Tamandua tetradactyla: one gene and its partners. The protein of the gene in region 2 interacts with the protein of the main gene of each other region in a biochemical or structural test. Links are inferred from orthologs where the notes say so. Each region holds a gene or a part of one and is shown on either strand. Other genes may lie near its edges. The genes, in order: STAT1, CREBBP, ETS1 and TDG.

What was found.
Region 1: the proteins of CREBBP (region 2) and STAT1 form a complex in vitro, tested with the Homo sapiens proteins (5 studies listed by BioGRID, with this or other methods). The link is inferred for Tamandua tetradactyla from reciprocal best matches to the Homo sapiens genes CREBBP and STAT1.
Region 3: the proteins of CREBBP (region 2) and ETS1 form a complex in vitro, tested with the Homo sapiens proteins (3 studies listed by BioGRID, with this or other methods). The link is inferred for Tamandua tetradactyla from reciprocal best matches to the Homo sapiens genes CREBBP and ETS1.
Region 4: the proteins of CREBBP (region 2) and TDG form a complex in vitro, tested with the Homo sapiens proteins (2 studies listed by BioGRID, with this or other methods). The link is inferred for Tamandua tetradactyla from reciprocal best matches to the Homo sapiens genes CREBBP and TDG.

The regions. Positions count from the first base shown.
Region 1 is NC_135329.1:164,781,554-164,789,237, forward strand, and holds the start of STAT1 (signal transducer and activator of transcription 1-alpha/beta), read right to left. Parts: upstream 3,007-7,684; 5' UTR 2,776-3,006; intron 2,719-2,775; exon of another isoform or gene 2,354-2,718; intron 1-2,353. UniProt on the Homo sapiens protein: Signal transducer and transcription activator that mediates cellular responses to interferons (IFNs), cytokine KITLG/SCF and other cytokines and other growth factors.
Region 2 is NC_135349.1:53,354,523-53,362,135, forward strand, and holds the start of CREBBP (CREB-binding protein), read left to right. Parts: upstream 1-4,598; 5' UTR 4,599-4,696; coding exon 4,697-4,781; intron 4,782-7,613. UniProt on the Homo sapiens protein: Acetylates histones, giving a specific tag for transcriptional activation. Mediates acetylation of histone H3 at 'Lys-18' and 'Lys-27' (H3K18ac and H3K27ac, respectively).
Region 3 is NC_135334.1:8,005,377-8,013,015, reverse strand, and holds the start of ETS1 (protein C-ets-1), read right to left. Parts: upstream 3,012-7,639; 5' UTR 2,809-3,011; exon of another isoform or gene 2,800-2,808; intron 486-2,799; exon of another isoform or gene 75-485; intron 1-74. UniProt on the Homo sapiens protein: Transcription factor. Directly controls the expression of cytokine and chemokine genes in a wide variety of different cellular contexts. May control the differentiation, survival and proliferation of lymphoid cells.
Region 4 is NC_135333.1:174,111,081-174,119,086, reverse strand, and holds the start of TDG (G/T mismatch-specific thymine DNA glycosylase), read right to left. Parts: upstream 3,011-8,006; 5' UTR 2,722-3,010; coding exon 2,699-2,721; intron 2,595-2,698; exon of another isoform or gene 2,525-2,594; intron 1,760-2,524; exon of another isoform or gene 1,300-1,759; intron 1-1,299. Other genes in the region: UQCC6 (ubiquinol-cytochrome c reductase complex assembly factor 6), read left to right, coding at 7,259-7,366. UniProt on the Homo sapiens protein: DNA glycosylase that plays a key role in active DNA demethylation: specifically recognizes and binds 5-formylcytosine (5fC) and 5-carboxylcytosine (5caC) in the context of CpG sites and mediates their excision through base-excision repair (BER) to install an unmethylated cytosine.

The DNA of each region.
Region 1 (7,684 bases), on a different chromosome or scaffold from region 2:
TTAGGAAAGCCTTCTCTGGCCCCCTTATTTAAATTATAACCACCTCCCATCCTGGAAAACACTATCTCTCTTCCCTGAGTTATTTTTCTCCATAGCACTTAGTACCATCTGACCTACCATATATTTTCTTTTTCATTTTGATTATTGTCTGTCCTCACGTATAAGGGGAAGGGCTGAGAGGGAGGGGGTTTGTTCACTACTGTATCCCCATAACAGTGTCAGATGGAGGAGATGCTCAATTAATATGCCTTTAAAACAAATCTTTACTTTTATCAAATAAAGTAATATAAAGCATTCTTCAATTTGAAGGTTTGCTTTGGTACAAATTGCAAGACCATTCCAAAAACTGCTCCCCTACAAATACAGTACATTTGTAGCTAAACTCAAAGGATTTTAAAGTGGTATTTTACATTATATGATTCCTATGATAAAATTAACTCCCCTACAAATACAGTACATTTGTAGCTAAACTCAAAGGATTTTAAAGTGGTATTTTACATTATATGATTCCTATGATAAAATTAACTATTTTTGTTTATACACATTTTTTAAATTTTTTATTATTTTTTTTTTATTTTTGGCATGGGCAGGCTCTGGGAATTGAACCTGGGTCTCCGGCACAGCAGGCAAGAATTCTGCTACTGAGTCACCGTTGCACTGCTCTGGATTATACATTTTTAAAGACATACTTTTTTCTCTTTGTCTTCTGCAAACAATAAATCTGGTATACAAAAAAGCATTAAATCTCAGTAATGATTTTAAAGTTTAAAGCGAAACAAATATAATTTGAAACGACAAGTTTTACACAGCAGCTCTAAAGATTAAAAAACAAAACAAAAACCTGATTTAGGGAAGTCCTAAGATGGGTGAGATAATGAAGGGTTTCCCATCACCATGGCTATAACCAAGGATTTCTATCAGTGCATGGCTGGCAACATTCAGAGCAGACAAAAGTGAATTTTGTCCTGCCGGACCTCTGAGGTAGACGTCTGGATTTTCATAGGGCATGGGAGTGTGCGTGCATGCAAGCAGGCATAACTGTAATGCCAGTTACTATCCCCATAATACTAGAAATGCACTCAGGCCCACCCCTGGGGACACTTGTTGTAGCAATCTGATTTCTCACTTCAGATTTATTTTACCTGAGCAGAAGACTCCACATTTGCAGCTCTCTCCCTCCCTGCTAGATGTCTAATAAGGATGTACCTAAAGCCAACACATTGGACTAAGTGTCAGCCAAGCCAAGGCTACCACACTGCTTAACCTAATAACCTCAGGTGATTCACTCCCCTATCAACGTGGTGGTTATTAACACTGGCCGATCTAGTACATACACAAGCCCCATCACAGGGTAGATGATCAATAAATAAATGTTAGCACATCCAGAATGGCAAATCCTGTTACTCCTGAGGAAGCTGTATCACTATCCCCAAGTCACCTGGCTCGAACCCCAAATCCAACACTGACTCCTTTACCAGTCTCAAGATCTGCTACCTCCATGTCTCCAATACTCTCTCTTCCCAGTCCAGCCTCTTGCTGCACACCTGTTGGATGACATCATCCTCTGCTCAAAGATACTATGGTTTGTACATTCCCAGGCTGATTCCCACTCCACCCCCATTTTTATCCAACAGCAAAGCAACCCTCATCCCCAGTCACCACATTATGTTTTCAGCTGTGTCCCACATATCTGCTTTGCTCTATTATTCGTAGTGAAAACAGCCTCTCCACAAATTTCTGCCTCTCCGAATCCTACCAGAAATCTTGTATCTTCCATAAAACTGTCTAAAACGCACTTACTCAGAAACAAACTTTGATCAACTTGTGCGGCGTTGCATTCTGCGCCCCTATATTAGAGCAATCCCTCCCAGTCTTCCCTGTAAAACTCTATGATGTCTCCGTTACCTGGCGGACGTCCCAGAGCTGCAGGATCCAAATCTTATCTTCTTTTCATCCCCTGAACCTAGGTCAGTGCCCTGCACATAGTATGTGCTCAATAATAGTGTGCTGAATTGAAAACCAAAATACTTTTTTTTTTTTTAAATTTCAGAATGAATTAGAAAGCAAACCATACTGTGGTTCAACAAGTTTGGAGCAGGGCGGGCCATGGTGGCTCAGCAGGCAGGAATGCTTGCCTATGATGCCAGAGGACCCCGGTTCGATTCTTGGTGCCTGCCCATGTTAAAAAAAAAAAAAAAAAAAGTTTGGAGCAGCATCCTCCTTAAGGGATAGTTACATGCGGGATTGTGCTGGAGGCTTAAGGCTTATTTCTATCTCATAAAACCAACTCCCTCCCCAACCTATGCATATAACATTCAAAGCGCAATCAACCACACAGCTACCCCACACATACCTTCAAAACGCTTCCGAACTGGTCGGAATTCTCTTAAAAGAGAAACTGTGTTATTTGGGTGCTTCAGGAACTAAATACCGCTCTTAAATTCCAGAAGATATTTAAGTTCCTTTATCTTTAAACATATATACATAATTGAGGTTCCAAACTCATGTACTCATTCATTCGTTTCCACGAATATTTATTGAACGGCCACCTTGTGCCAGCCACGGTGCTAGGGGCTGGGGAGCCCAACCAAAGCAGCAGCCACACTCAGCACATTGGATGCCAAGACCGTTGGGTGTGCATGCACAGCGCGAGCCTCTAAACTAGCCAGCTCCCGAGGATGACACAAGGCAAAGAAAATCCTTCTGTGAAAATGAAGAAAACGTCCAGCTGCACAGCCTCTACAGCCCCCGTCCCGGGACCTCACACCCACTCACTCTGCGCTGGAGCCGGACAGGGGTTGGAAGGGGACGTTCGAGGCCGCAGCGGAGGAGAAGCGCGGATGCTGCCTCTCCCGGACGCGTCGGGTCACCTCTTCTAGGCCGGGGGTCTAGCAGGCGCGGTACCCGGACGTGGCAGTGCTACTGTGCAGGCTGCGCAGGAAAGCGAAAGTACCAACCGGGAGAAAAGGCAGCGCGAGGCGCCCGGCCCCCTTCCGTCTCCTCCAGTCACCCGGCGGCTGCGGCCAATCGGACGCGGCTGTTCCGTGGACGCCGCCGCCTCCCCGCCTGCCAGCGCGTCCTTTCTAACCCTCCAAGCGGGTTCTGCGCTTTCATGATCTGAATGACAAGTCTGTGTTGCAATTTAACTGACTGGAGGTTCTCTTTACAAATTTTAGAGAACAGCTGAAAGGAAGTTCTGGGTTTGCAAAGACCCAAACTTGGAAATCCCTGCATTGGCCCCATACTCAGAACCTGAGGCAGAGGACAGAGTTGGGGACGTCCTCAATCCAACTGACCTCCATGTTTCCAAACCCAGGGTACGCTTTCCTTGCCTCACACTTGGCCTCTCAGACACAGGCACAGTTGACTTGAAACCCTTCTTCCTTGACAATGATGATATACCCGCCTTGCTTCTTCCTACTTCTGTGTCATTCTTTTGCTATTTCATGCTGCCTCCACCACCACTGCCAAACCGTTAAATGGTGTCAGGCGCGTACCTTGATCTACTTCTTTACCTACGTGTCTCCTCAAACTGCCCCGTGGTGGCCTCACCATAGCTCCAATGGCTTTCTAGACGTGGGGTCCCCTATGCATCCTGTCCACACTTCTCTGAGCTAGCTGCACACCATGTACAATCCACCAGGATGTTTCACAGGCTCTGCAAGCTCATTATTTTTAGAACCCAACTCACCATCTTTCTCCTCAAACCTGTTTTTTCCCCCAGAAATAGCACATACCAGAAATCTGATTCATCTTTGACTTTTTCTTCTTCTTCACCCCTATACCTGATCCTCAAGCCTTGGTACTCCTCCTAAGTAATTCTCAAACCCCATTCACTTATCTCTCATTTGGATTTCTGTGGTAGATTTCCAATGGCTGCCTCACTTTTGTTCTTAGCCCCTTTTAATCCACTCTCCATACAATAGTTTGAAAGATTTTTTTTTTTCAATTGCAAAGCAAGTCATGTCATTGTGACCTGAAAATACTATGATGGCTTTTCTTTGCCATTCTAATAGATCAAAATTTCCTTAGTATACAAAGCCCTGATTTCTCTATCACTTTCTCTGACTCCATCTTGTGCTGTTCTTCCCTTTGCTTACTTCAACCTTTTTGCTCTTCACATGTCATGCTCTTCCTCCCCCTGTGCGCCATAAAAGGACCTTTCCCATCAGAAAGGGACTGCAGGGCCTTCTCACCAGCAGGTCTCCGTCTTTGGGAAGTCCCTTGGGCCAACTCCTTCCCTCCCCCAACTTCTTCGCTGGCTAACTCATATTTTACTTCTCAGCTTAAAATCTCAGTTAAAGTAGGTTTTCCTGGATAATGTGTCCATAAAACCAATTGGTTTCTTCCTTCACATGCTAAAGATTTGAATCAAGCCTTGAATAATAAGGCAATTTTGGGTAAGAGAGTTTGTCTTCTCCTACGAGATTTAAATCATTCACCAGGAATATGCATATCAATGTGGATTATCGTATTTAACTAGTTCCACATCTATAATACAGTAGGACCTCGTTTTACGTGACCAATACCATTTCAAGACCCTTTGAGTAAATTGGAAATCGCGCTTGCGCATAATAGCAAACCCCATTATTTAATTTCTTATATGAACGTAGCTACCGCACATTTTTAAATAAATAAAGCAAACACTCTAGTAACATTAAGAAAACAAAATTAATCATAGAAGTAATTTAAAAAATTTTTAATTCACTCTGCCTTCATTATTTAGATCACCACTGACATATACCTAAATTAGGATGTGTGAGTTAATGTAAAACAAGGTCCCACTGTACTCCATCTTCTTGTCACACCTGCACCCTCACAAAGCCAGTACTGATAGGAATGTCCCTGGTACCAAAGTAAAGGTGAACCAGCCATGTATACAAAAAGATGCCAGACCACTAAAAGGGCTGCAAACAACTGGAAAGCCCCTTCACCTTCTGCTCACCTGTATGAAGGGCCGATGCAATGTTGTATTGTTCTCTGAGAAAAGCCAACCCTGGGATGGGTTGATAACAAGTTAAAAAAATCTTCTGGTACTATAAAATCTGCACAGAGAATCGCTTCAGGGTTGGTGTGGGAATTGAACAATCCTAATATCTGCAAATAGGGCATCTCTTTTTGGCTCTTTCCATCCTGTCATCAAGTTCTACGGGTGCTTCCTACTCTATGCCTTTATCTTTCTTTGTTTTACTGTCATTGACCATATCCCATTATAAGCCCTGATAGAATTGGAGGGCTTTATAACTTTAGAATTGGAATACTATGATAGACTCTAGGCAGACTACCTTCTTCCTGCCTCTTTCTCCTCACCTATTTATTAGCCAAATTAAATTTCCCAAAACACGACGTTGATAAAGTTATTTGATATAAAAACCCTTAATAATGCTCTACTGCGTTTATGATAATCACAACACTTTGTCTATTGGTCTGGATTCTCTACCATTCTTTCCCACCTGTGTCCCATTGTCCCATTAATCAACTTAATTTACCTATCCCCTGCCCTTCTCTCGAGTTTTTAGTCTACTCATTTCTGCCCTTTTGCACATTACTATTTTTCCAAATGACAAGTCCTACGTCTTATCCTGTTCACTTATATTCTTATCCAACTTTCAAGACTCAGCCCAAATCCTATATTCCTTCCAGAACCACCTGAACCTGTGGTGACTGGTCTAGTCTCTGAAATAATATAATAAATTAGTGTCTTTACTTATTTTGACAAACACCTTCCCAGAAAACACACACTCTCTTATGTTATGGTTTTTGAAGCATCCGAATCTTATCTAGCCAACATTGTAAGATCCTGGACCGGAAAACTACATGTATTTTATAAATGTGACTATCATATTGGCTGCTTAAAAATCAAACAGAATTAGTACCAATTCTCCTCAAACTCTTCAAAAAAATCGAAGTGGAGGGAAAACTGCCTAATTCATTCTATGAAGCCAACATCACCCTCATACCAAAACCAGGCAAAGATATTACAAAAAAAGAAAACTACAGCTATACACTAGTAATGAACAAGCTGAGGGGGAAATCAAGAAACGAATCCCATTTACAATTGCAACTAAAAGAATAAAATACCTAGGAATAAATTTAACTAAAGAGACAAAAAACCTATATAAAGAAAACTACAAAAAACTGCTAAAAGAAATCACAGAAGACCTAAATAGATGGAAGGGCATACCGTGTTCATGGATTGGAAGACTAAATATAGTTAAGATGTCAATCCTACCTAAATTGATTTACAGATTCAATGCAATACCAATCAAAATCCCAACAACTTATTTTTCAGAAATAGAAAAACCAATAAGCAAATTTATCTGGAAGGGCAGGGTGCCCCGAATTGCTAAAAGCATCTTGAGGAAAAAAAACGAAGCTGGAGGTCTCGCGCTGCCTGACTTTAAGGCATATTATGAAGCCCCAGTGGTCAAAACAGCATGGTATTGGCATAAAGATAGATATATTGACCAATGGAATCGAATAGAGTGCTCAGATATAGACCCTCTCATCTATGGACATTTGATCTTTGATAAGGCAGTCAAGCCAACTCACCTGGGACAGAGCAGTCTCTTCAATAAATGGTGCCTAGAGAACTGGATATCCATATGCAAAAGAATGAAAGAAGACCCATCTCTCACACCCTATACAAAAGTTAACTCAAAATGGATCAAAGATCTAAACATTAGGTCTAAGACCATAAAACAGTTAGAGGAAAATGTTGGGAGATATCTTATGGATCTTACAACTGGAGGCGGTTTTATGGACCTTAAACCTAAAGCAAGAACACTGAAGAAGGAAATAAATAAATGGGAGCTCCTCAAAATTAAACACTTCTGTGCATCAAAGAACTTCATCAAGAAAGTAGAAAGACAGCCTACACAATGGGAGACAATATTTGGAAATGATATATCAGATAAAGGTCTAGTATCCAGAATTTATAAAGAGATTGTTCATCTCAACAACAAAAAGACAGCCAACCCAATTACAAAATGGGAAAAAGACTTGAACAGACACCTATCAGAAGAGGAAATACAAATGGCCAAAAGGCACATGAAGAGATGCTCAATGTCCCTGGCCATTAGAGAAATGCAAATCAAAACCACAATGAGATATCATCTCACACCCACCAGAATGGCCATTATCAACAAAACAGAAAATGACAAGTGCTGGAGAGGATGCGGAGAAAGAGGCACACTTATCCACTGTTGGTGGGAATGTCAAATGGTGCAACCACTGTGGAAGGCAGTTTGGCGGTTCCTCAAAAAGCTGAATATAGAATTGCCATACGACCCAGCAATACCATTGCTGGGAATCTACTCAAAGGACTTAAGGGCAAAGACACAAACGGACATTTGCACACCAATGTTTATAGCAGCGTTATTTACAATTGCAAAGAGATGGAAACAGCCGAAATCTCCATCAACAGAAGAGTGGCTAAACAAACTGTGGTATATACATACGATGGAATACTATGCAGCTTTAAGACAGGATAAACTTATGAAGCATGTAATAACATGGATGGACCTAGAGAACATTATGCTGAGTGAGTCTAGCCAAAAACTAAAGGACAAATACTGTATGGTCCCAATGATATGAATGGGCATTCGAGAATAAATTTGGAATATGTCCTTGATAACAGAGTCCAGCAGGAGGTAGAAACAGGGTAAGATAATGGGCAATTGGA
Region 2 (7,613 bases):
GACTCCTGACCTGTTTCCATTCCTTCTGCTGAGAGGGCCTGCCTCCCTCTCTCTTCCATTCTCTGACTCTCTTCTTTCTTTCTAAATTGACTTAAAAGAAAAATTTATTGATCTATAATTCATATACCATCCGATCCCCCCCATTTAAAGCGTGCAATTTAATGGCTTTTAGTATATTCACAGAATTCTTCAACCATCACCACATTCAATTTTAGAGCATTTCCATCATCCCCCAAAGAAACTCTGCCCCATGCTCCCCATCACCTCCTAATGCTTCTACCCCCCACCCGCCACCCAGCCTCAAGCAAACACTGACTGGCTTTCTGTTTCGACAGATTTGCCTACCTGGAAGTTCAAATAATGGAATCATGTACTATGTGGCCTTTTATATCCTGCTTCTTTCACTGAGCACTATGTTTTCAAAGTTCATCCATGCAGCAGCACGTATCAGAACTCCGTTCCTTTTCATGGCTGAATACTATCCCATTGTCTGGATGGAACACATTTTGTTTATCCATTCATCCACTGGTGGACCCAAATGGCCTCTCTCCACCAAATAGCCTCTCCTTCAGGAAACCTTTCCTGACTTATTCCTACCTGTTGCTCCTCTCTCGGCCCCTCCACACCCATTCTCTCAGCTCTTGAGCCTTCTGTAGATGGAAATTCCTTGGTCGTTTACTGTTGTCCCTGCAGCTGGAGGTGGCAAGGTGAGTGGAAAGAGCAGGCAGCCTTGGGTTTGCAACTCAGGTAAGCCACTTGGTAGCTGGGCGACTTCTTCTCCTCTGGGCCTCATTTCTACATCTGTAAAATGAGGACAATACTTTTCCTTCCAGGACTGGAAAAAGCTCATCCGCATGGAGCTGCTGGCAGACCGGCCCAGCATACAGAAGGTTCTCAACAACCCTGGGCCCTCTCACCGTTTTTTGTTTTTTGTTTTTCTTAAATATTTTTATTGTAAACAACAAACATACAAACATTCTTGACATGGTTACACTCAATGGCTCACAATATTATCACATAGTTGTGTTTCCATCACCATGATCATTTTTTAGAACGTCTGCGTCACTCCAGCAAAAGAAAAAAGAAAAAATTCAGGCATGCCATACCCCTTAGCCCTCCCTTTCATTGACCACTAGTATTTCAGTCTACTCAATTTATTTTAACCTTTGTTTCCCCAATTATTTGTTTATTTCTTATCCATATTTTTTACTCATCTGTTCATAGTAGATAAAAGGAGCATCAGACACAAGGTTTTTACAATCATGCAGTCACACTGTAAAAGCTATATCATTATACAGTCAGCTTCAAGAATCAAGGCTACTGGAACACGGTTGTACGGTTTCAGGTACTTCCCTTTAGCCACTCTAATACACCATAAACTAAAAAGGGGATATCTATATAATGTGTAAGAATAACCTCCAAGATAGCCTCTCAACTCTATGTGAAATCTCTCAGCTACTGACACTTTATTTTGTCTCATTTCGCTCTTCCCCCTTTTGGGTGGAGAAGATTTTCTCAATTCCTTGATGCTGAGTCCCAGCTTATTCTAGGATTTCTGTCCCACATTGCCAGGGAGGTTTACACCCCTGGGCCTCTCCCCTGTCTTGACCGTGACCCCAAGCTAAAGGAGGTGCAGGCTGGAACTGTACTTATAGTTTCAACTGTTCTCCCCTTAATGCCCATGCACTGTCCTTTGACGAAGTATAGGATGAGGGGAGAAGGAATAAAAACGGGAGAAAAAGCAGATAGCAGGAAATACCAGAGAAACTATTCAAACGGATACAAATGAGAAGGAATGGGAAGTAAAAAGGGATTGCAGAACAAGCATGGGGCAGGGGGAGCAGGGGGCTTGGAGTGGGGCCCTGTGTCACAGGCCCACTGGACCTGTCCAGTCACTGTCCTCTGTAAGGCACGGAGCCTGGGTTCCCTCAGTTTCCGCCTCAGTAAAATGGGGTATATCTTGACCACTGTGTAGACGGGCATACCCCAGGGATCCCGAGGGCTGGGTTGTGGCCTCCTATGCCCCAAGGCAGGTCCTTAGGTGGTCTGACACCTTGTCTTCTTGGGGGGGGAGAGGGGCAGAGCTGCTGCTTGCTGGGCCCCAACATTTTCAGTCGGCCTGGAAGCTGGTAGGACTCAGGGGAACCTGACATGTTCATTCACTCATTCATTCATTCATCCATCCAGTTTTACCCTGGTCTGTGACTGAGACACAGCTCCTGCCCTGAAGGGCTGCAGGGGTGAGACTGACATGCAGACAGGGCGTTCAGATCCAGGGGGTCCTGCACCCCACGGGGTTACTCTGTGATTCGATCTGCTTCCTGCCTTTCCTGGGCAAAGTGACCTCAGGACCACTTCTGTTTATGGTTTTCAGGTCTTGCTATTTGGCCTCTATCAGTACACAGGGGTTTCTTCCTTTATTCTTTGCCCTGGGTGACTACCTGAATACTAATGCCTTCAGTCGATTTTTAAGAAATATTTAATGACTCAATAATAACACAAATCCGTGAAAAGGACAAAAGACAGAAAGACAAAACATGAGAGCGAGCTATGTGTCCTTTCACATATGCCCGAAAGTGCTGTGGGAGACCTCAAGAGGGTTAGAAGGGCTTCCTGAAGTAGGTGAGGTTTGATTAGGGTTTGCCAGGCACGTGTTCCCGGCACAGGGAATTTGCGAAAGACTAAAAGGGCCCCCACGTTGAGGCCTTCCTGGTGTCTTGATGGCCAAGTGGGGAACAGAGAGCGGGAGCGACGGCACAGGCTGTGAACAAAACAGATTAAAAAAAGTAGAAAGATCACTTAGTCCAACACTCCAAGAAAGCCCTTTGGGTGTGTACTTTAATCAGATTTTTTTTTTTTTTTTCAAGAAGTTAACTCTGGTGCTTCGTGGGGGGGGACGTGGAGCGCGAGAAACACTGAGTGGAAAGCTGTCCCCGCGGCCGGCAGCGGGACTGGGGGAGGGGGCCGCGGCGGGGGGAGGGGTCGGGGCGGCCTCCCCAGGTGGAGGACGTGGGGAGCCTGATGGCGCCGTGGCCGGAGAGGGAGGGAGGGGCCGCGCTGACTCACAGGTTTCTGGGTTAGGAAACCAGGTAGCTGATGACACTTTAAAGATAAGGATTTCAGGTTGCAGCGCCGGCAAGTAACCAGCCGGGATGCGCCCTATTCGGGGCTTTGTGGCGCGGGCCCCGGAGACCTCCGGGACCCCGACCTGGCCTGGAGCACCTGCGGGGGCAAGCGGGCGCCGGGCCCCGCCTGGTGCAGGTGGGGGTGTCGGCGCGTGAGACCTGGGAGCAGAGGACCCCACTGCCCGTGGCCCTTCCAGCCTCCCCGGGATAAGTTCCCCTGCCTCAGTTTCCTCATGTGCACGCGAGGCTGTTCGGAGCCAGCGAACGCCACTACACCTCGCGGACGTCCGGCGAGGGGGCGAGACCAGGCCCCGGCTCGGGTGGTCCCGGCCCTCCCGGCCCGACATGCCCGAGGGGGAGGGGCGCGGGGAGAGGCACGGGCGCCCCAAGAGGGGTAGGCGCGGGCCGGGCCCGGCGCAGACTCCGCCGCTCGAGGCCGCAGCCAGGGACGAGGCCACCGCCCCCAGCCCCGCCAAGCCCGCGCGCCCGGGCCCTCGACACCAAGTCGCCGCCAGAACAAAAGTGGTTGCGCGGCCCTGGGTCCGCAGGCCCGGCCCTAGCCCCGCCGCCCGGCGGCACCACGTACAGCGCCCGCGCCTTCGGCCCTTTCCGCCCGGGAGCTCTCGGCTCTTTCCGCCGCGGCCGGCGCAGGTGGAGGGGGCGGGGCGGGGGCCGTGCGTGGTGACGCCGCGGAGGGGTGACGCACCGGCGTGCCCCGCCCCCTCCCCCTCCCCGTTCAGGCTCTGGAAAGAGAAGAAAAAAAACTTTCTTTTTTTTTTAATTGAGGAATCAACAGCCGCCATCTTGTCGCGGACCCGACCGGGGCTTCGAGCGCGATCTACTCGGCCCCGCCGGTCCCGGGCCCCACAACCGCCCGCGCACCCCGCTCCGCCCGGCCGGCCCGCTCCGCCCGGCCCTCGGCGCCCGCTCCGGCGGCCTCGCTCGCCTCTCGGCTCGGTCTCCCGGAGCCGCGGCGGCGGCGGCGGCGGCGGCGGCGGCGGCAGCGGCGGCGGCGGCGGCGGCGGCGGAACGGGGGGTGGGGGGGCCGCGGCGGCGGCGGCCGCGGCTCCGCTTGGCGCATTGTTTTTCCTCACGGCGGCGGCGGGCCGCGGGCGGGGAGCGGACCCCGGAGCCCCCTCCTCGTCGGGCCGCGAGCGAATTAATTAAGTGGGGCGCGGGGGGGGGGGGGGCGAAGGCGGCGGCGGCACCACCATGTTCCCGGGGACTGCCTGAGCCGCCCGGGCCGGGCGCCGTCGCTGCCAGCCGGGCCCGGGGAGGCGGCCGGGCCGCCGGGGCGCCCCCGCCGCGGAGTGTCGCGCTCGGGAGGCGGGCAGGGGATGAGGGGGCCGCGGCCGGCGGCGGCGGCGGCGGCCGGGGGCGGGCGGTGAGCGCTGCGGGGCGCTGTTGCTGTGGCTGAGATTTGGCCGCCGCCTCCCCCACCCGGCCCTGCGCCCTCCCTCTCTCCGCGCTCGCGGCTCGCGCTCGCTCCTCTCCCCTCGCAGCCGGCCGGGGCCGGCGCCGACCCCCGCCCCGGAGCCCTCTCTCGGGGCTGTTTTCGGGAGCAGGTGAAAATGGCCGAGAACTTGCTGGACGGACCGCCCAACCCCAAACGAGCCAAACTCAGCTCGCCCGGATTCTCGGCGAATGACAGCACAGGTGAGGAGGGGGCCGCGCACTCCGGGGGCCCTGGGGAGGAGCTGTCACCCCCCCCCCCCCCGCTGCCACCCTGCGGCTCGGGGGTCTAAGCGGGAGGGCCGGCGGCCGCGCAGGGAACTCCGTAGTGGGCGTGAGCGCCAGAGGCCGCCCCGGCTCAGCCCTGGCCCGCGCGGCCCTCCCCCTCGGCCCGAGGTGGAAGTTGGAGGGAGACTGTCACTCGGCTCGAGCGGGGCGGCACATGCCTGCGGGCGCTGAGGCTTCCCGGACCCGGTCAGTCCCCTCCGCGAGCGGGACCTGGAGGAAGGAAAAGTAAAGTGGAGGGTGTTTACTTTGTGTGCCAGAATTCCACGCGTCCCTCCGCGGCCGTGTGTCTCCCCCACGCGCGGCTGTCTGGAGGAATGACAGTGGAGGGTACGCTGTATGGTCGGGGCAGGGAAAGATCGCAGCCGGAAGGGACTGACTTGCTGGGTTTTCTGAATAGGTAACGCTGCGCTTTGAACACACCAGCTCGTGAGTTATGACTTAAAAGTTGTAATGTGTTCTTTGGGGAAAAAAAAATGCAAAGTCGTCATTCCGCTTTTTCAAAGCCTCCAACTTGGTTAGCAAGATACCCTGAAAGTTGCTGTGGCGTATTGAATTTTCCATGTGTAATTTTAAAAGAAAGTTGTGTAGCAGCTTTGTTTGAGCCGCAGTCATTTGAGCTTGTGTTGCTTTTAGGATGTAGCTGTTGCAAAGAATTATGTTAAGGAGTGTAGGAATGATCATTTTCAAACAGTTTTAGCACAGCACTGAATCAGTTACTTTTTTTTAATCTCATGCAGCAACTTCCATGAAAACTTTCTTAGGTAATTGTATCAGTTGCCTAAGAAGAGTATTTTAGTTTTCTGATCGTTTAATAAGTCCAGGTTCTCCTGGTAACATTATGGACTAGGTGTATTTTCTTTTTAGAGCTCTCTTATGCAGTAAAAACTCTGGTACCTCTGGGAATGAGTTCATTCTTCATTGCAACTTGCATTTCTCCAGTGCTGTCTGCTGTAGCAGCATCTGAAATCAGTTTAAAATGAATGGATCCAAATTGAATTACAGTGCTGCTGCAGTGTCTTCAGATTTGCAGTAGACACAGCTGTGCAACTTGTAGACATATTTCTGTGACTGACCATTTTCAGATACAAAAATCTGTTTCTTCTGTTGAAACAGCACGACTTTTGTGGGTTCAGTTTTCATACACTCTCTAGAATCCAGTTAGGAAAAGTGGCATGTAATATTAGTTAATGTAGACGTGAGGGAAAATATTTTTAAAAAATCAGTCATAAGTGAGTTTTTGTCTAGTTAAAATTTTGTTAAACACTGGGGGGGTAGAAAATGAATCTCATAGTATATATAAGTTACCAATAATACTCTATTTTTAAACTGATAAGGAGCTTAGTTTGACTTTAATTTTGTAAGTTTCTCTCAAATGAGGAATCACTTATTTGAAGTGAGAAATGTGCAAACAGCCATAATTTAAGTGCCCCAACACTGCAGAGTAGACCCCCTTCTTTCCTTCATTGGATCCTGTCATGTTTGAGTGAGAAATTTTTAATCAATCATACTAAGAACCATCAGCGTGCAGCTTATCTTCTGAAACTGTGTAACTTTTGAATGGCTGTGATACCTTTCTTTTGTTGAATGAAGTTACTGTAGGTTTTGTTTTACAAAGGCGGACAATTTAGTAACATGACATTTAACAAAAAGAGTTAGTTGTTCCTACTGTCTCCCTCTAGCTGTTTCTAAGACAGAACCCCAAGGATGGCTTTTTGGGGTAATTCTGTTACTGGACGGCCAGATACTTAATGTGCTGTTAGGTACAACAGAGTTTATCAGAAAGGATTTTCCACTCTTAACCACATTTTCTTCCTACCATCTTTTGATGGTAAGGAAAAAATGGGTCCCGTTATGTTTCCAGTTGTGGAATAAGAGAGTCAGTTTCTAATGGCGCTGATTTAAATTATTCTAAGAATAAAATTCATGATCATACTTAAGTGCGGGTCCTTGGCTAGGCATTCATCCTCATCACACCAGTACAAAAGGGTCTGTTGGTGTGGGGGCCAAGGAAGAATCATTAGCAAGCAAATTTAACACTGTCCAACCTTGTCACCTAAGCATGGAGGAATGAGATGAACAGAGATTGGATATTAAGTAAAGAAATGACTGAAGTATTACACTAAATACATTGAGAAGAGTGAAGAATTTATTTGTTGGGTGGGAAACTGGGGAGAGACCTGGGAAATACATTCTTGAGAGACTCAACCTTGTTTTCCTGAGGGGATGTCTCCTTGAGGCTTCCAGGAGAAAATTGGGCCAGGTGGAGCAAGGTATGTGTTTGAGGGAGGGGACTTATCATGGGAAGAGGTGAGGAGCTGGGAGGAAGCAGGGCAGCCAGGTGAGGGCAGGACTGCCATGATGCATGCCTGTCTAGGGTTCTGGCCCGGGGAGCATCAGTGTTTGTCTGAAGTATCTGGGGTGAGGGTTGCAGGGGCCATTGAGAAAATGGTACCCCTGACCTTGGAAGCTTCCTAGCCTGGGTACTGCTCAAAGGGGGCTTGCCAGCGAGCCCAAGAATGTGGGTGCCAGCCTGAAACACTCCAGGGATGCCAGGCAGCAGCTCAGCGTGGGATCAGTGCCATGGCCTCCGTGGCCGAGTGGGAGCTGCTGGAGACTGAGGAGGGCTGCAAAGGCTTCTGAGGAGAGCCTGCCCCAAAGTGGGATAGCCAGAGGAAGAAGAGATAGCGCGCTCACCCCACTAAAACTTGAACTCTGAAATAGCAACAGGATTCAATGGCATCGGATATT
Region 3 (7,639 bases), on a different chromosome or scaffold from region 2:
GGGCTCACACTCCTTGGGCGTAACCACGGTCCCACCACTTATTCAATCGGCCCTAACACTACCCTTCTCAACAGGGACGCCAACAGCGCACTCCTCAAAGATGTCAGCGAGGATTAAGGAAGTCGTCCCTGCAAAGCACCTAGCAAAGAACCTGGAAGGCACCTGGTGCTCAGTAAACATCAAGGATTATATCCTTCCGCAGTGAAGTGAGAAAGCCATATGCAGAGAATCAGCTAGATTAGAAAGCTGAGCAGCAACAAGGCTATAAGGAGTAAGGAGGCAAAAAAAGAAAAAAAGAAAAAAGAGCTAGTGTTGAATATCTCGGTTTCCCCAGGATGGAAGAAACCTACAAGATTTGCGTCAAATGCCCTCAGAGACATACCACTAAATTGCTGCAGGCCATATTTGTTTTTCTCAAATACTAAATAGTTTTGAATTTCCATGAAAGAAAGAGACAGAGGCAGAGAGGAAGAGAGGATAAGAGAGAAGGAGAGAGCGAGAAAGGGGGAAGGGAGGGAGGGAGGGTAGTAGGGAAAGAGGGAAGCAAGGAGGGAGGGAGGGAGGGAGGCCACAGACACCCCAGCTCTAGGAAATAACCATCCCTTCTGTGGTTTGATATGAATAATTGGGGATTCAAATGGGTAATTAGAAAAGGATAGTTGCTGTGGGAAACAGATCTGTTCAACAATAAAGAATATTATGAGGTACAATAGAACCTGAATTATCAGTAAGGAATTCGCCAAGGCATTGAACCTCTAAGTGCAATAAAGAGAAACCTAAGGGCCAATGATTTGTTTCCATAGTATCTCCTGCCCTCCCCTAGGGCCTGCACCCATGCACCCTGTTTGTTATAATATTACTTCTTCCGCCCCACTTCCTTACTGACGCTTTTGTTTTGTAAAGCTCTATGCTATTTCTTTCTATTCTCTCATCTTTGTGAAACAGGCGGGGCACATGTGGTTGTTCACATTTTAGAGATGAAGAAAATGAGGCACAGCCAGGTTCAATAGCTCATTCTCAGTTAAACAGCTAATCTGGGGCAGGCCATGGTGGCTCAGTGGCAGAGTTCTTGCCTGCCACGGTGGAGACCCGGGTTCGATTCCCAGTGCTGGTCCATGCCAAAAAAAAAAAAAAGCTAATCTGTAACAGAGCCCCAAATGCCCATCTACCACTCCAGACTCCAAACCCAGCACTGGTTCCGGCTCTGGCCACACTCGCCTTTGAACCCCATCGTGGTCTCCTGCTGGTAGTGGGTCCGGTGCGACTGTCCAAGGCCACAGATGGCCAGACATTGAAGGACTCCAGCCCCTAACCCCCCTCTCCCAGGCTTTACTCTTTGAACTCTCTGCCTCTCCACCATCTTGCACCTTAGCGCAAGGAGCGTGTAAATGTCAAAGTAACCTCTCAGTAGGTTCCAACTCAGCCTCCCACTTCCTCAACAGTGGAACCAGCAGGGATGAGGCTGCCCAGCTGCCCTCGCTGTGTTATTTCCCTACAGAGTTGGTGAAGATGGAAGTTGCTGATTTACATGTAGAAGCAGCCAGTTTCTTCAAATATTAATATTAACCACTACCCACTGAACGCATGAGAAGACCTTTTCATCTTCAAAGTTCTTTGCAGTCATTAATGCATTAGCTGTCCCTTCCCTCCTCTGTAAGAACAGTACCAGTAGCGACCCAGCAGCTCCCAGTGCATCACACATGCCTGCAGGAACGAAAGGGTTTTCTGTTTAGATAAAGAAGAGGCGATGCAGTCCGGAACCACAGCTGATGAAAGAGCTGAAGCATCAGTAATTTTACAAATCAAATGGAGCTGCCAGATTATCACTGTAGAATCTGTATTTCCTGTTGTTTAACAAACATCTTTTTTTCCAGTTGCACAGAGGCAGAATGAAAAAGAAAAAATGACCTTGAGAATTAAAAAAAAAGAAAGAAAAACTTTGTCCACAAAGTAATAAGGAAAATTTACAATCAAATGCTTTGAGCTCAGTGACCCAGCATCTTTTTTGAGCAGTTTACCCACCTAAATGCTACTTTAAGAGGAGGTCGCAGAGGAATTTTTACAGTAGTTGAGAAGCGACTTGCAGAGTGGATGAAAAACTGAGTGGCGAAGAGTCGCCATCCGCAGATCCTGTTTCTCCTAAGCAGCTACTGAAGTCCGGCTTTCCAGTCGCAGACAGAAATGCCCCCCTGAGTCTGAGACACACCCTCCCTCCAACTACAGTCCAAAGGATTATCAAACCCTTGGAGAACTGTCAGAATCAGAATGGGGAAAACACCAAAAAGGTGAGTTTGACTTGCAAGATTCCAACATTTATTAATTGTCCTCTCCATGAAAGCAATTCATTAAGCTTCACTATGCAAAAAGAGAGAGAGAGAGAGAGAGAGAGAGAGAGAGAGAGAAACAATAGGCTTGCTAGGAATGAAAGAGAAAAAGAGAAAGAAATTTCAATCTTTTAACTGTGGCTTCATTTCTTTGGAACTGCTCTGATGCACTAAGAAAGAATCCTGAGTTTCTGACAAGTAAGCTGCAAGTAACTAAACCGTGAAGGATTTGGCTTTTATAAAGACAGGAAGACAGTGAAACATGGTCTTGATTTCAGGTTATTCGGACAAGGTTAGGAACTATTTTCTGAAAATAGTCATGAAATAAACAATTGAATGGTAAATAAAGCACAATGCGAAAAGAAAACCAGGTTTTATCCTGAAAGTCCTCGTCAACGTACCCTTTAATTCCACAGAGTGGGGGGGAAAATGAAAAAGGAGAATGGGCTCAAAAGTTTTAGGCAGAAACTCACACCTCACTTACTACTTTGCTGGAGAGACAGAGTGAAGAGTAGATCCTGAGTGAGCTTCCCTCACGGTCCGTGGTCTCTTTCCAACTACCTGCGGGAACCCTCTACTCCGGAGCTAAAGAGGAGGCGAAGACCATAATGTTTCTAATAGAGCTGCCTCCTTAAATTGGGGGGTGTGGTCAAACCAGGGAAAGCTGGAAAAATGCAGTCTTCGTTAGTTCCTGGCACCGCGCGCACAGGGACAGGCGCTGTGGTCTAGAGGGAAGAATCAAGCGGCATTTCTGGCTGTGGTTAACATCAAATACACCTTATTTCCTAGCCCTCAAATTCTGCTGCAATTAAATATACCTCACCCGGGGGTGGGAAGAAAAAGAGGGAGATGCCGAGAAGGCAACCAGCTCAGGAGGAAAAGGCTGTTATCATTGGCTAATGCATTCGATTTACTCTCTACTGAATGTGTCCGTATTCAAGCTTTTCAAATTTCTTGATTTTCTCAATGGAGTCCCTGCTGAATCTAGCCGGGGGATAGGAGGGCTATAAAACCAGGTCAGAAAGACCTGTTCCTTTTCTCTGTTAAGTGGCGGGCACGCAGGATGCCTACACTCAGTCACCTCTCCAGCCTCTTGCTTGTTTCTCTCAACCTGATGTGAAATTCGATATTTCCTAAGGAAAAAGCAATTGTATGGAAGAGAGCTGACTAAGCACCGAGTGGGAATTTCTGAAGAGTAAAGCTCAAATACGCTTTTCCTGTAAATCTGGCTTGGGGTGCTCTCTAGAGTAGATTACTCTTACTGACTGATTCGTGGTCCATCGTGCAGGAATAAAAAGGCAGAGATAGTCATATAGTTCTAGTCTAGAGAAAATATAAACAATACAAAAATCTTGCATCTGTTCTAGGTGAGGATATACACCGTCTTTCATTTACTATTCAAGAGTGTAATCTCATTTCTATTGATACGGTTATTTCATGACAGATTTCTTTGGAAAGTCAACAGTTGGCTGCTTCGTCTAGGAATTTTATCCTAAAAGATTTTATTTTCTGTGAGTAATAGATGGGAGCAAACATTTGTCATGGTGGCCACCTTTTTTTCCTTTTCAATGGAGACACAAAAGCACAACTTTGAAAGCTAGTGAAAATCTACTAAACCATCATCCAGCAGTACTTTTTGTTACATAAAGCTGGTAACACAGTTCAGATGTTGATGGGATTCAAACAAGGTTTTACTGCTCATCTTTTGGCTTTGCATGTTGCCGTGGCTTGGAAGAAAGGAAGAGATGGTGCTGCTTGTTCAATTTAATAAATGTCTGGGTCAGGCACTGTGCTGGGAACTAGAAGTATAACAAAATTCATTTTGTAGTGGGAAGACAGACAAATAAATGAGCCATCTCCTTAAAACGCGATGTATGCTGTGGGAGAAGTCTATGAAGAGAGGTACTGAAACTTCAGCCAACCTCCCCTAGCCTGGTAGGTTCCAACCTGTAGCCCCCATTCAAAGAGCCTATGGTCAATTAAAGCAATCACAACTGTTACAATTGTATTCTCTGTCTTTTCAGAAGAGGAAAGCAAAAAGCAATGCAGAAAGAGTTGGACTGTTGGCCTAAAGCAGGTACAGAGTGATAATTGAGGGACTATGGAGTCTGGGGTTGCCTAGAGTTTATATAGGGAGTAACCCTTTGAAATATGCCAGTTCCATCCTCCGCCACTACCTATCTTGTGTAAAAGACAGGAGGAATCTTTTTTTTTCTCACTTTTTTATTGTATAATATAGCATATATACAAAGCAAAGAAAGAGAAAAGCACTAATTTTCAGAGCACTCTTCAACAAGTAGTTGCAGGACAGATCCCAGAGTTTGTCATGGGCTACCATACCATCCTCTCAGATTTTTCCTTCTAGCTGCTCCAGAACATTGGAGGTTAGAAGGAATATATATATATATATATAATCACTTTTTTCTTTTTTTATGAAAACAACATATATACAAAAAAGCAATAAATTTCCACACACAGCACAACAATTAATTGTAGAACAGATTACAGAGTTTGCTATGGGTTACAATTCCACAATTTTAGGTTTTTACTTCTAGCTGCTCTAAGATACTGGAGACTAATAGAAATATCAATATAATGATTCAGCAATCATATACATCTGTTAAACTTTACCTTCTCTGTATAACTCCACTTTCTTCCATTCTTTAGGGATAATTGGGCCATGCCCATTCTAACTTTTTTGTGTTGGAAGGGGTTGTCAATAATATGGGCTAAGGAGATGGAACTAGCTGATGTTCTGGAGAGGCTGGGCCCTCTAGGTTTCAGGACTTATCTGATCCAGGAACCCATCTGGAGGCTGTAGATTTCTGGAAAGTTACCCTAGTGCATGGAACCTTTGTAGAATCTTATATATTACCCTAGGTGTTCTTTAGGACTGGTTGGAGTGCTTTCCATTGGAGTTTGGCAAGTTATGATAGGTAGCAACGTCTAACTGAAGTTTGTGTAAGAGTGACCTCCAGAGTAGCCTCTCAATTGCTATTTGAACTCTCTCAGCCACTAGTAACTGATTTTCTACACTCCTCTTCTCCTTTTTGATCAGGATGACATAATTGATCCCATGGTGCCAGGGCCAGACTCATCCCTGGGAGTCATCTCCCATGCCACCAGGGAGACTTTCACCCTTGGACATCAAGTCCCACATAGTGGGGAGGGCAATGATTTCACTTGCACAGTTGGGCTTAAAGAGAATGAGGCCACATCTGAGCAACAAAAGAGGTCCTCCAGAGGTGACGCTTAGGTACACCTATAGGTACGCTAAGCTTTTCTGCTACATACATAAGCTTCACAAGAACAAACCTCAAGCTCAAGGGCTTGGCCTACTGATTTGGGTGTCCTTAATGTTTGGCTGCTTCGTCTAGGATCAGGCTTTTCCCCAGTGGTAAAGTTTAATAGTTCCATATTTTTGCTCCCATCCCTCAAAGAACCTTGCCAATATTTTTTTATTCTCTCCTTCATGTATTCTGGGATGTATCCAGGCATTACATTAAGGTATACAGAATTAAAGGCTCATTCTTATTCTGAACTCCCTGTGTTTTAACTGTTTAAACAAGCTATCTAGACAGGTTGAGTTAGATTGTGTGCTACAGAAAATTTAAGTTCTGGACAAAATAACTTTTCTTTATTTGGCCTTAAAGAGTAGATGAAGTTCTAAAATCTAGACAATGTCTTCCTTACCCCTATGTTCTGAATTACCTTAATCTCGACCTGATCACCTTTGTTCTTATCTCTGCATAGCAGGTTATATGTATATAAAAGAGCTTCTAAAAATCCAGAAATAATAATTACCGTTCTAGACTAAATAAGACTGCTATAAGAGCTTACAATGTAGGCACCAGTTTTCTTATAAGCATTTTCTAAATGAGACGTACAGTAATTGCTCTTTTGTTTCTGGCTTATTTTGCTTCATCAAATGCCCCACAGATTCATTCATAATGTTGCATGCCTCACAACTTCGTTCCTTTTTGTAGCAGCACAATATTTGATCAAATGTATATACCATTGTTTACCAATCTACTTATCAGTCAGTGCATGACAAGTAGGAACCTGAATGGTTCATATAAGTCACCATGCTTAAATCACCTAGAGATGTCCAGAGAAAACAGGAAGTTTTGCTTTAAAAAGTATCTTCAAAAATGTAGCATTAGAGGGAAGTAGACCACCCACAGAGGTTATGCTTTCTGATCCACATGGATTACATAGGGCAAAAGTAAAATGATCCTCTTGAAGAAAAGGGCATGAATTCATAAAAAGGAACACAGGATCTGAGACTAGAAAACCTGGCTTTGCCTCCCTCCTCCGCTCCCTATGTTCTAAAACCTAAGTTTGGACATCAGTCCCAAAAAGGGTAATAATACCAGTCCAACTTGACAATGTTATTGAGTTAACTGAATAATTAATTGGATGATTGTGCTAAAGTGGGAAGGCAACACTGATCATTCATTTCCTTGTTCTGCTCTACTAAAGGACCTCATTTAAGATGACTGTAGACTTTAAGATGTTCAAGAGAGCGATTTGGGGGACATGTATACCTTTTGGCCACCATGTAAAAGAGTTATACAAAAAGAGTCGCTTGTGAAGGTGCATCTCCAGAACCCAACCCAAGAGGGCGATTTCAATATCTTGTAGATGAAATTGTAATAGGGCCTGAATAAAACTTATTTGCTGTTCTAATGTTGAAGACACCTTGTTCTTTTCTTCTGTCTAACAAGCTACATTGCAAGTTAGTATCTACGAAGAGGAAAAATGGAAAAGCTGAATTCCCAGAATCTTAGCTTTGCAAGGACCTTCGACCCTACCAACAGCCTTCCTCACTCCCACCTTAATTCCCATGAAAATGCAGAAATCCCCTTCTAGGAAACGTATAGTGGTTCTTTAAACCACTCTCAACACATGAAACAGTTACATTTGAAATGAAAATGCATTCGATTTGATGAGAAACAAAGAAAAATATCAGCCATTTATTGCATTTTGCATCTCCTCTCTTCCCTTCCATTTCACTTAGAACAACTTCCAGTGTTTCAGAAGACTCTATATATGCAGGGAAGCAGGAGCTAAACAAATTATCAAAACTGGCAGGGAGGGGGAGTGGTAAAATTCAGATACAAGCATAGTCAGCACCAAATTTCCAAGAGGCCCCAAAAGATAAGATGAAAGGAAAGCGAAGGGTAGAGAACCTTTGTCTATTGACGCTCCAGCTCTGGAACTTCTTATCCTGTACTTTGCAATGAATGTATCTCTTCTCCGTGATCAAAAGCTAAGCTTTGGTCTTGAGCCACAGATGGATCAGCAGGACTCAC
Region 4 (8,006 bases), on a different chromosome or scaffold from region 2:
TGCCGTTAGCACCCTGAAGCTGTTAAACTATTGAAAAACCACAAATTCAGGGAAACAGCTAAATGGCACAACAGATGGACCTCTCTGCAGCCTACCCTCAACTCTTTCAGCAGTAAACTAGTTTAGATTTCACCTGATTTCCAACAGTTGCTATCCACCTTGCCCGCAAAGAAAAGAGGCACAGCACGGCTGTTAGCTCGGGAGGTACCCTTTGGACCCAGACCGCCTGAGTTTATATCTATGTGGGGGCGAGTCCTTAACCTCTCTAGGTCCCCAGCTTACCCACCTGTAAAACAACAATAACCTCACTGGTCTGTGGATTAAATTGTTAACACACATAGGGCAATCAGAACAGTGCCAGGTATATAGTAAACCTGCTATAGCAATAACTAATAAAAATTAAAGATATCATGAGATGATCAAACCTTTTAGGTTCCTTTTCTCAGCATCCCCTGATGCTGTCTAGCTAGTCAGGTTACACCCAGCATCATTATCCCACAAGGAATGAACCTAATCTGGTAGGTCTCTTTTCTGAACTTACACTATAATACAGTGATCACTAGTTTCTTTTAAGAATGCTCAGGAACTACTAATAAGTAAAAATTCAAGCAATTTGTTCAAGAACAATGTCAATAAATTAGAACACAGATTCCACATTTTGGGGGGAAAGGGACTAATGTGTTTACATTCAGGCTTTAGGCCCCTGACCTACTGCGAAGATGTGTAAATATTCAAAGACTGCTATAATCTGGCCTCTCACTTAAAGTACAATTCATCTGGGCCAAGAAATATGATTTCATTAGAGCAGCTAAAAGCTTTCTTATGGGCATTCATTCTGCTATTTGCAGGCTGACAATATTTTTCTTAAGATGGGAGGCAAAAAACCAAAATCAGAACTGAATATTTACGATTCTGCTGTCATTGCCATGCCACAGGCCTGGACAGAAAATCCAAACCCTTCTCATCTTTCTTGTCCAAATCTAACCAAGAAAGCCCTATCTGGTCTCTTTTAACAATTCTAGAGAACCTGACGTCATCCGAGGGCTACTCTTTCCTGTCGACAGGCTTAGAGGTCCATGCCACTCTTGATTTGGCATCCAATTTCCCATCTTTGTAAACGTTCCTTATTGGTCCCCTTATATAATTCCTCCTTTTCACCTGTCTGGGTTAGTGTGTAACTGCTTCTTGTGACTCTTGAACTATTTTCCCTTCTTAGAGTCTATATCAATGGAATATTTTTCTTTAAATCTTCTGCAAGAAATCTTTAGAAATAAAGAGTAAATTAAAGAGTAAATTTACTCTATTTAGCATTCCATTCGTTGATGAGCACAAACTGGAGGGTGACAGGGAACCACTTTCTCAGAATTTCCTGGGGCTTGTGCCATTTTAGAGCTCCATTTCAGAGTATCCACATAGCACCCTCCATTATCTCTGAAAGGTTAAGTTTGCAAGTAAAAAATAAAAATGTTCTACAGCCCTACGGGGATGAGGCTAAGACAGCATATTCAAGCCACAGCTTTGAACTAAACAGTACAGCAGAGTCCCATATTATACTGTAAGACACTGAATGAGGTTTCATAATGTGTAATTTATTTGCTGATAGGTGTTACCCATTTTTCAGTTTTCCGTTGAAGTAAGATCACAAAGATGAGAGAGATTCCACGAATTCCGATGAATTCTCTTATTTGTAAAGTTCTTCGGGGAAAGAAGTGGAATATTTTATTCCAGAGTTTGACCCACAAAATCAGGCTGTTCCACATTTTATCTGTTCCCAAACTCTAAGACAATTTTGTTATGTCAGCGTCCCCCTTTGACATACCGATTCCCAGCATGTCAGCAGTGGACTCCAGAGACGGCCTTAATTCAGACACGAGGAGGCCCAGAGAAGTTAAGTGCCTTGCATAAATTCAGGGTCTCTTAGCTTCTGAGCCTCAGAATACTTTTTCATTCGGTTTAGTAGTATTTTACTCCAAGCAAATCTTCAAATATTTTTCTTTTTAAACACCCTATCACCGTGCCTAATTATTTATTTTCTCATTTGGTTTCTGCCAGGACTCTAAATCTCTAAAGTTCTGCTTTTGCAAAATTTCCACTCCAAATCTAACACTCCCCAAAGGACACTTAAAGACAGACTCCTGCGCTCGTCCCCGAGACCGCCGGTAAACTCGGCCTCGGGGCGCCCTCGCGGGAGTGTTCCACACGTTCCCGGAATTCAGCGGCTCGGGCGCAGCACGACGACCTGTCCTGCGACCCTCGCGAGTGCCGCCACTGCACTTTCCGGGGAAAGCCACAGAGCACCTCCTCGCGTAAAGACAGACCCCCGGAGGCGCTCGGAGCCGGAGCCGGTACCTGCCTCTTCTCTATGCGGACCTCGCCACGCGGTAACGGAGTGAGAACTGCTGTCCTGAACGCAACCGGAAAGAAAGATTACCCGGAGACTGACGGTAGGCAACGAACGCATTTTAAAGCTAACTAGATGTGACAGGAGGCGGGGAAGCGGGGCTCGGGGGTGCCAGACACCGACCCTGAGCACTGACGGCCAACGCGAAGGCCCCAGTGCGCACGCGCGGCCGCGGCCTTTGTGTTCCGGCCGCAGCGTTGAAAGCGCCCCGCGTGCGCATGCGTGTGCATACGTGCACGCGCGCGCCGCACCTCCGCGAGGGGCGCTGGGGGAGGGGGGAGCTCCACCCGGCTTTACCTGCCCGCGTTGTCCGCCTCCATTCCCGCTGTCGCTTGCGTGAGCAGTTTCCTATCAAGCTAACGAGAGCCTGACCTCTGCCTAGCCCCGTGTACTGCGGCGGACGACGGTAACCGGAGCCCTGGGGCCGCCGGCTTCAAGAACTGGCCCAGTGGCTGGCGCTTAAGCTCCTCCCCAAGCTTCTGGTTCCCCTCCCCCACCCCAAGTCCGCGCGGCGGTTCCTTCTGCGCGGAGCCAAGTGCACGCCTTGTGGGCGTTAGGTGACGCTCGGTAGCCCAATCACGTTCGCCCCTCCTCGATTGTCAGTTCCGCCGCTGAGCCTTTCGGGAAGGTGGCGGAGGAAAGTAGGCGGGGCATCGTGCTGACGCAGCTGTTCTGCGGGCGCCGACGCCTCCGGGGCGGGGCGTGGGAATGGGGACTTCTGGGACGCCGGCGGGGGGGGGGGGTGCATTTGAGCTCATTGAGAACCAATGTATCTAGTCTTTTCCATCCAAGACTCGATTACGGTTAAAACTTTTATCATAAAACTGTGTTTTGCATTAGCTAACAGTAATTGACGGGATGTAGAGGAAAGAGACTTTGAACTCGGAAAACCTGGGAAGCAAGGCTTTACCACTGTGTCATCGTGAGCCTTGTTTCGTAACATAAAATGAGGGTGCTTGTGAAACTGCTTTGTGAAAGGTAAAGCTCTGCATGGAAATTCTCTTATTTGGATGAAGTCTGAAATCTGTGATAGTACACGTCACGCAAGTATCTGTTCCTCCTTACAGCCTCCCAGACTCGCCCGTTTTCTTTCTCAATGGCTCTTGTAGCTGTTTTTCGTTGTTAGTTGTCAGTTTCCATCACTGATGTTTGCACAGGACTCAAATAAATCTTAATGGAGACAGATTTTTCTGTTTCTCTAGTTTGCGAGATAAAAAAATACAACTACTTTATTAGCTTTCCCTAGTTTATTCTGTGGTAACAGATAACTCCAGAATACTAGTGGTTTACAGCAACAAAGGTTCATTTCTCACTCGTGTAACATGTTGGCTGGGAGAGGGCTAATGCTCTGTGCTCCATGTGCTGTCTTTATTCTAGGATCCAGGAAAAGGCTTTCATGGAGAGTTACGGCAAGATTATATTATATTGACTGTTTAAAGTATTACTGAATCTTTGACACTTCTAAACTTTATGGAACTTTTTAAAAACACCCTGTCCAATAGGAAGATCTTAAGAAAATCCCCAAAGAGTTGAAAAAACGAACAAACTTAATCTATGACACAAAGAAAATCAAAAGAGAAATTAGAAAGTATTTTGAACTGAACGATAATGAAAATATATAAAAAATCGTGGGGTATCTCTAAAGTAGTACTTAGGGGACATTTAGAGCACTAATTGCCTATAGTAGAAAAGAAGAAATGTCTCAAATCAACCACCTCATCTTTCCACCTTAAGAAACTAGATAAATCAAAGCAAATTAAAATCAAAGTAAGCAGAAAAAGGAAATAAACATCAGAGTGTAAACTCAGTGAAAAATCACAGAGAAAATCAATGACATCAGAAAAGAGCAATAAAATTGATATAGCTTGAGCGAGATGGATACAATGTGAAGAAATGAGGATACAATGTGAAGAAAAGAGGATACAATGTGAGGATCAAAGAGGTGAAATAATTACAGTCTCTACAGATATTAAAAGGATAATAAGGGAGAAAAGTAATAAGGGATTTGTGTACAATTTTATTTCTATAAATTGAATAGCTTAAATGAAGTGGGCAAAATACTTGAAAGATACAAATTCCCAAAGCTCATTTAAGGAGCAATGAAGAATCCAAATATCCCTATATCTATTACAAATTTTGAACTTGTAGATAAAAACCTGCCCACAAAGAAGACTCAAGGCTCAGATGGCTTCATTGGTAAATTCTACCAGACACTTAAATAAGAAAGAATACCAATTCTGCCAAACTCTTCCATATTGAAGAAGAGGGAATAATTTCCAACTCATTCTATGGGGCAAACCCATATTACCAAAAGCAAAGACAGTACAAGAAACTACACATCAACATTTCCCATGAACATAAATGAAAAAAATTCTGAACAAAATTTAGCAAATCAAATCCAGCAATGTGTAAAAAAGATCTTGGATATACATCAACGATAGAAGAGTGCTTTACCATCTGAAAATCAGCTGTACTTCATCACATTAACAGATGAAAAAACAAACCAACCATGATCATTGCAGTAGATGCAGATTAAGCATTAACAGCAACATCCATTTTTCTGATAAAAAGTTTCTACAGCTTAGGAATAGAAGGAAACTTCCCTGCGAACTTCCTCCATCTAATAAACATCATCTACAAAAAACCTACTCTATAAACCTATTCTTTATTTGCAGATCACATGTTGGTTTATGTAGGAAATTCTATAGAACCAATTAAAAAAGCTACTAGAAGTAATAAGTGAGTTTTGCAAGGTTGCAGGACAAAAGATCAATATGGGAAAGTTAACTGTAATCCTACACACTAAGAACCAACAATCTAAAAAAAACATAATTTACAAAAATATAAAAATATAAATACTAGGGATAAATCTGGCAGAAGATGTGCAAGACCTGTATCCTGAAAACTATAAACCATTGCTGAGAGAAATTAAGAACTCAATAAATGAAGAGATATATTGGGGTCAAGAGTCAAAAGACTACATACTATTAAGATGTTAATTTCCTCCGGATTGATCTGGATTCAGTGCAATCATATTCAAAATCCCATTAGCATTCAGAAGTCTTATTATTTATTTTAGAATTTTAACAATCTGGTTCTAAAATTTATATGGAAATGCAAGATCTAGAATAGAATAGCCCAAATAACTCTTAAAAAGAACAAAATTGGAGGGCTTACTTCCTGATTATAAGAATTATTATAAGACAATAATAATCAAGACAGTCCTATCAGTGGGTCCATGTATATATGGACTCATACTGGAGTTTACAAATAGATGGACAACTGCCCAGACAATTCAATGAGGAAGGAATAGTCTTTTCATCCAAAGGTGCTGGAACAACGGATATCCATAAGCAAAAAACCATTGACTTGCATCCATAAACAAACTCAAAAGAATACACAGTAGAAAATCTTTGTGACTCTGGGCTAGGCAAGGATTTCTTAGATATGACACTAACAGTGTCAAATATCGGGCTTCATCAAAATAAAAAATTATGTTCTTCAAGTCACCTTACAAAAAAAAGAAAAAGACTAGCCACAGACTCGAAGAAAATATTTGGAGGTCAAATAGCTAGTTGATAAGAAGTACCTGTACCCAGATATATTTAAAAAAAAGTTCAAAGTCAATAAGATTCAATAAGAGAACAACAGAACTTTTAAAATGGGTGAAAAATCTGAACAGACACTTCACCAGTGAAAATGTAACTTCCATGACACGCGGCTCAATATCATTAATTATGAGGGAAATTCAAAGTGAAACCAAAATGCAACACCATTACCTAGTTATCAGAACGGTGGATATTTAAGACTGATAAGACTTAAATGCTGGAGAAGATGTGGAGAAACGGAACTCGCATACACTACACTGGGAAAGAAGTTGGCAGTTTCTTAAGAAGTTAAATAAACACTTATCGTATTCCGCAGCCATTCTATTCCTAGGTATTTACCCAATAAAAACGGTAGCATATGTTCGCAAGACTTGTATATGAATTTTCACAGCAGCTTCATTCATAACAGTCGCAAACTGGAAACAACTGAAAATGTTCGCAACAGGCAAATAGATATACCAATTTTTGTATAGAAATACAATAGGGATTCACAATAAAAGGAGCGAACGACTGATACACACGACGTGACTGGATCTTCAAACAGCTCTACAGCATCATGAGCGGATGACGGCGTCACACCCGGTAGAGTCCAGAAAGCAGACCGCGGGCCGAGAGGCCGGGGCGGTGGGCGTGGTGGGCGGGCACCGCCGGGGCGACGAGAAACTCTTCGGGTGATGACCGCTTCGCGATCTTGAAGGACCAGGCGCCTGCGCCTTCTTTCGTGTGCGCTGAAGGACAAACGACGCAGTGACCTGGGCTGAGGTGTGAGCGCGGGTCGGCGGGGACCCCAGGCCGGGGCGGGCCTGGGAGCCTACAGCCCGGGACCCTGGCTCGGGCTGCCCCCACTTCCGCCCGGGCCACGTGCTCGCGGCGCGGCGTCCCGGCTTCCGGTCCGGCGGGGCTCCCAGCCCGTGCGCTCTCGTTCCGCCCGCGCGCCGTCCGCCGCGGCACCCGAGCGCCCTTCCGCCGCCGTCCGCGCGCTTCCGCCGTCCTCCGCGCCCTGGTGAGCGCCGCGGTACGCGGGGCTGCCTGCGGGTTGTGGGGGCTGAGAGAGCGCGACGCGGGCAGCGGGGCTCGGCGTCCTGTTCTCTTCCCCCAGGGACGCCTTCGGGGCCGAGAGCGGGTACGCGGTTGCGGCCTTGGCCTCCTGGGTGCCCCGCTCCGGGAACGCGTTAGCGGCTCGACGGGGGCGGGGGAGCCGCTGCGGGGACCGCGCCGCCTGAGCCCGGCGTCCCCGCCCGCCGCCGCCATGCCCGCGGGCACGCCCTGGCCCGCCTACCTGAAGCTGTTCGCGGCCGGCCTGTTGGCCATGTGCGCTGGCGCCCAGGCGGTGCACAGATGCTACCGGCCAGACCTGGTGAGGGGCCCGGGGCGGTGAGGACGCGGGCGGACGCGGTGAGGGGCCGGGCGGTGAGGACGCGGTGAGGGAGCCGGGGCGGTGAGGACGGGGTGAGGGGCCCGGGGCGGTGAGGACGCGGGCGGACGCGGTGAGGGGCCGGGCGGTGAGGACGCGGTGAGGGAGCCGGGGCGGTGAGGACGGGGTGAGGGGCCGGGGCGGTGAGGACGCGGTGAGGGACCCGGGGCGGTGAGGACGCGGGCGGACGCGGTGAGGGGCCCGGGGCGGTGAGGACGCGGGCGGACGCGGTGAGGGAGCCGGGGCGGTGAGGACGCGGTGAGGGACCCGGGGCGGTGAGGACGCGGGCGGACGCGGTGAGGGGCCCGGGGCGGTGAGGACGCGGGCGGACGCGGTGAGGGACCCGGGGCGGTGAGGACGCGGGCGGACGCGGTGAGGGGGCGGACGCGGTGAGGGGCCGGGCGGTGAGGGAGCCGGGGTGGTGAGGACACGGTGAGGGGCCGGGCGGTGAGGACGAGGTGAGGGGCCGGGCGGTGAGGACGCGGTGAGGGAGCCGGGGCGGTGAGGACGCGGGCGGACGCGGTGAGGGGCCGGGGCGGTGAGGACGCGGTGAGGGAGCCGGGGCGGTGAGGACGCGGGCGGA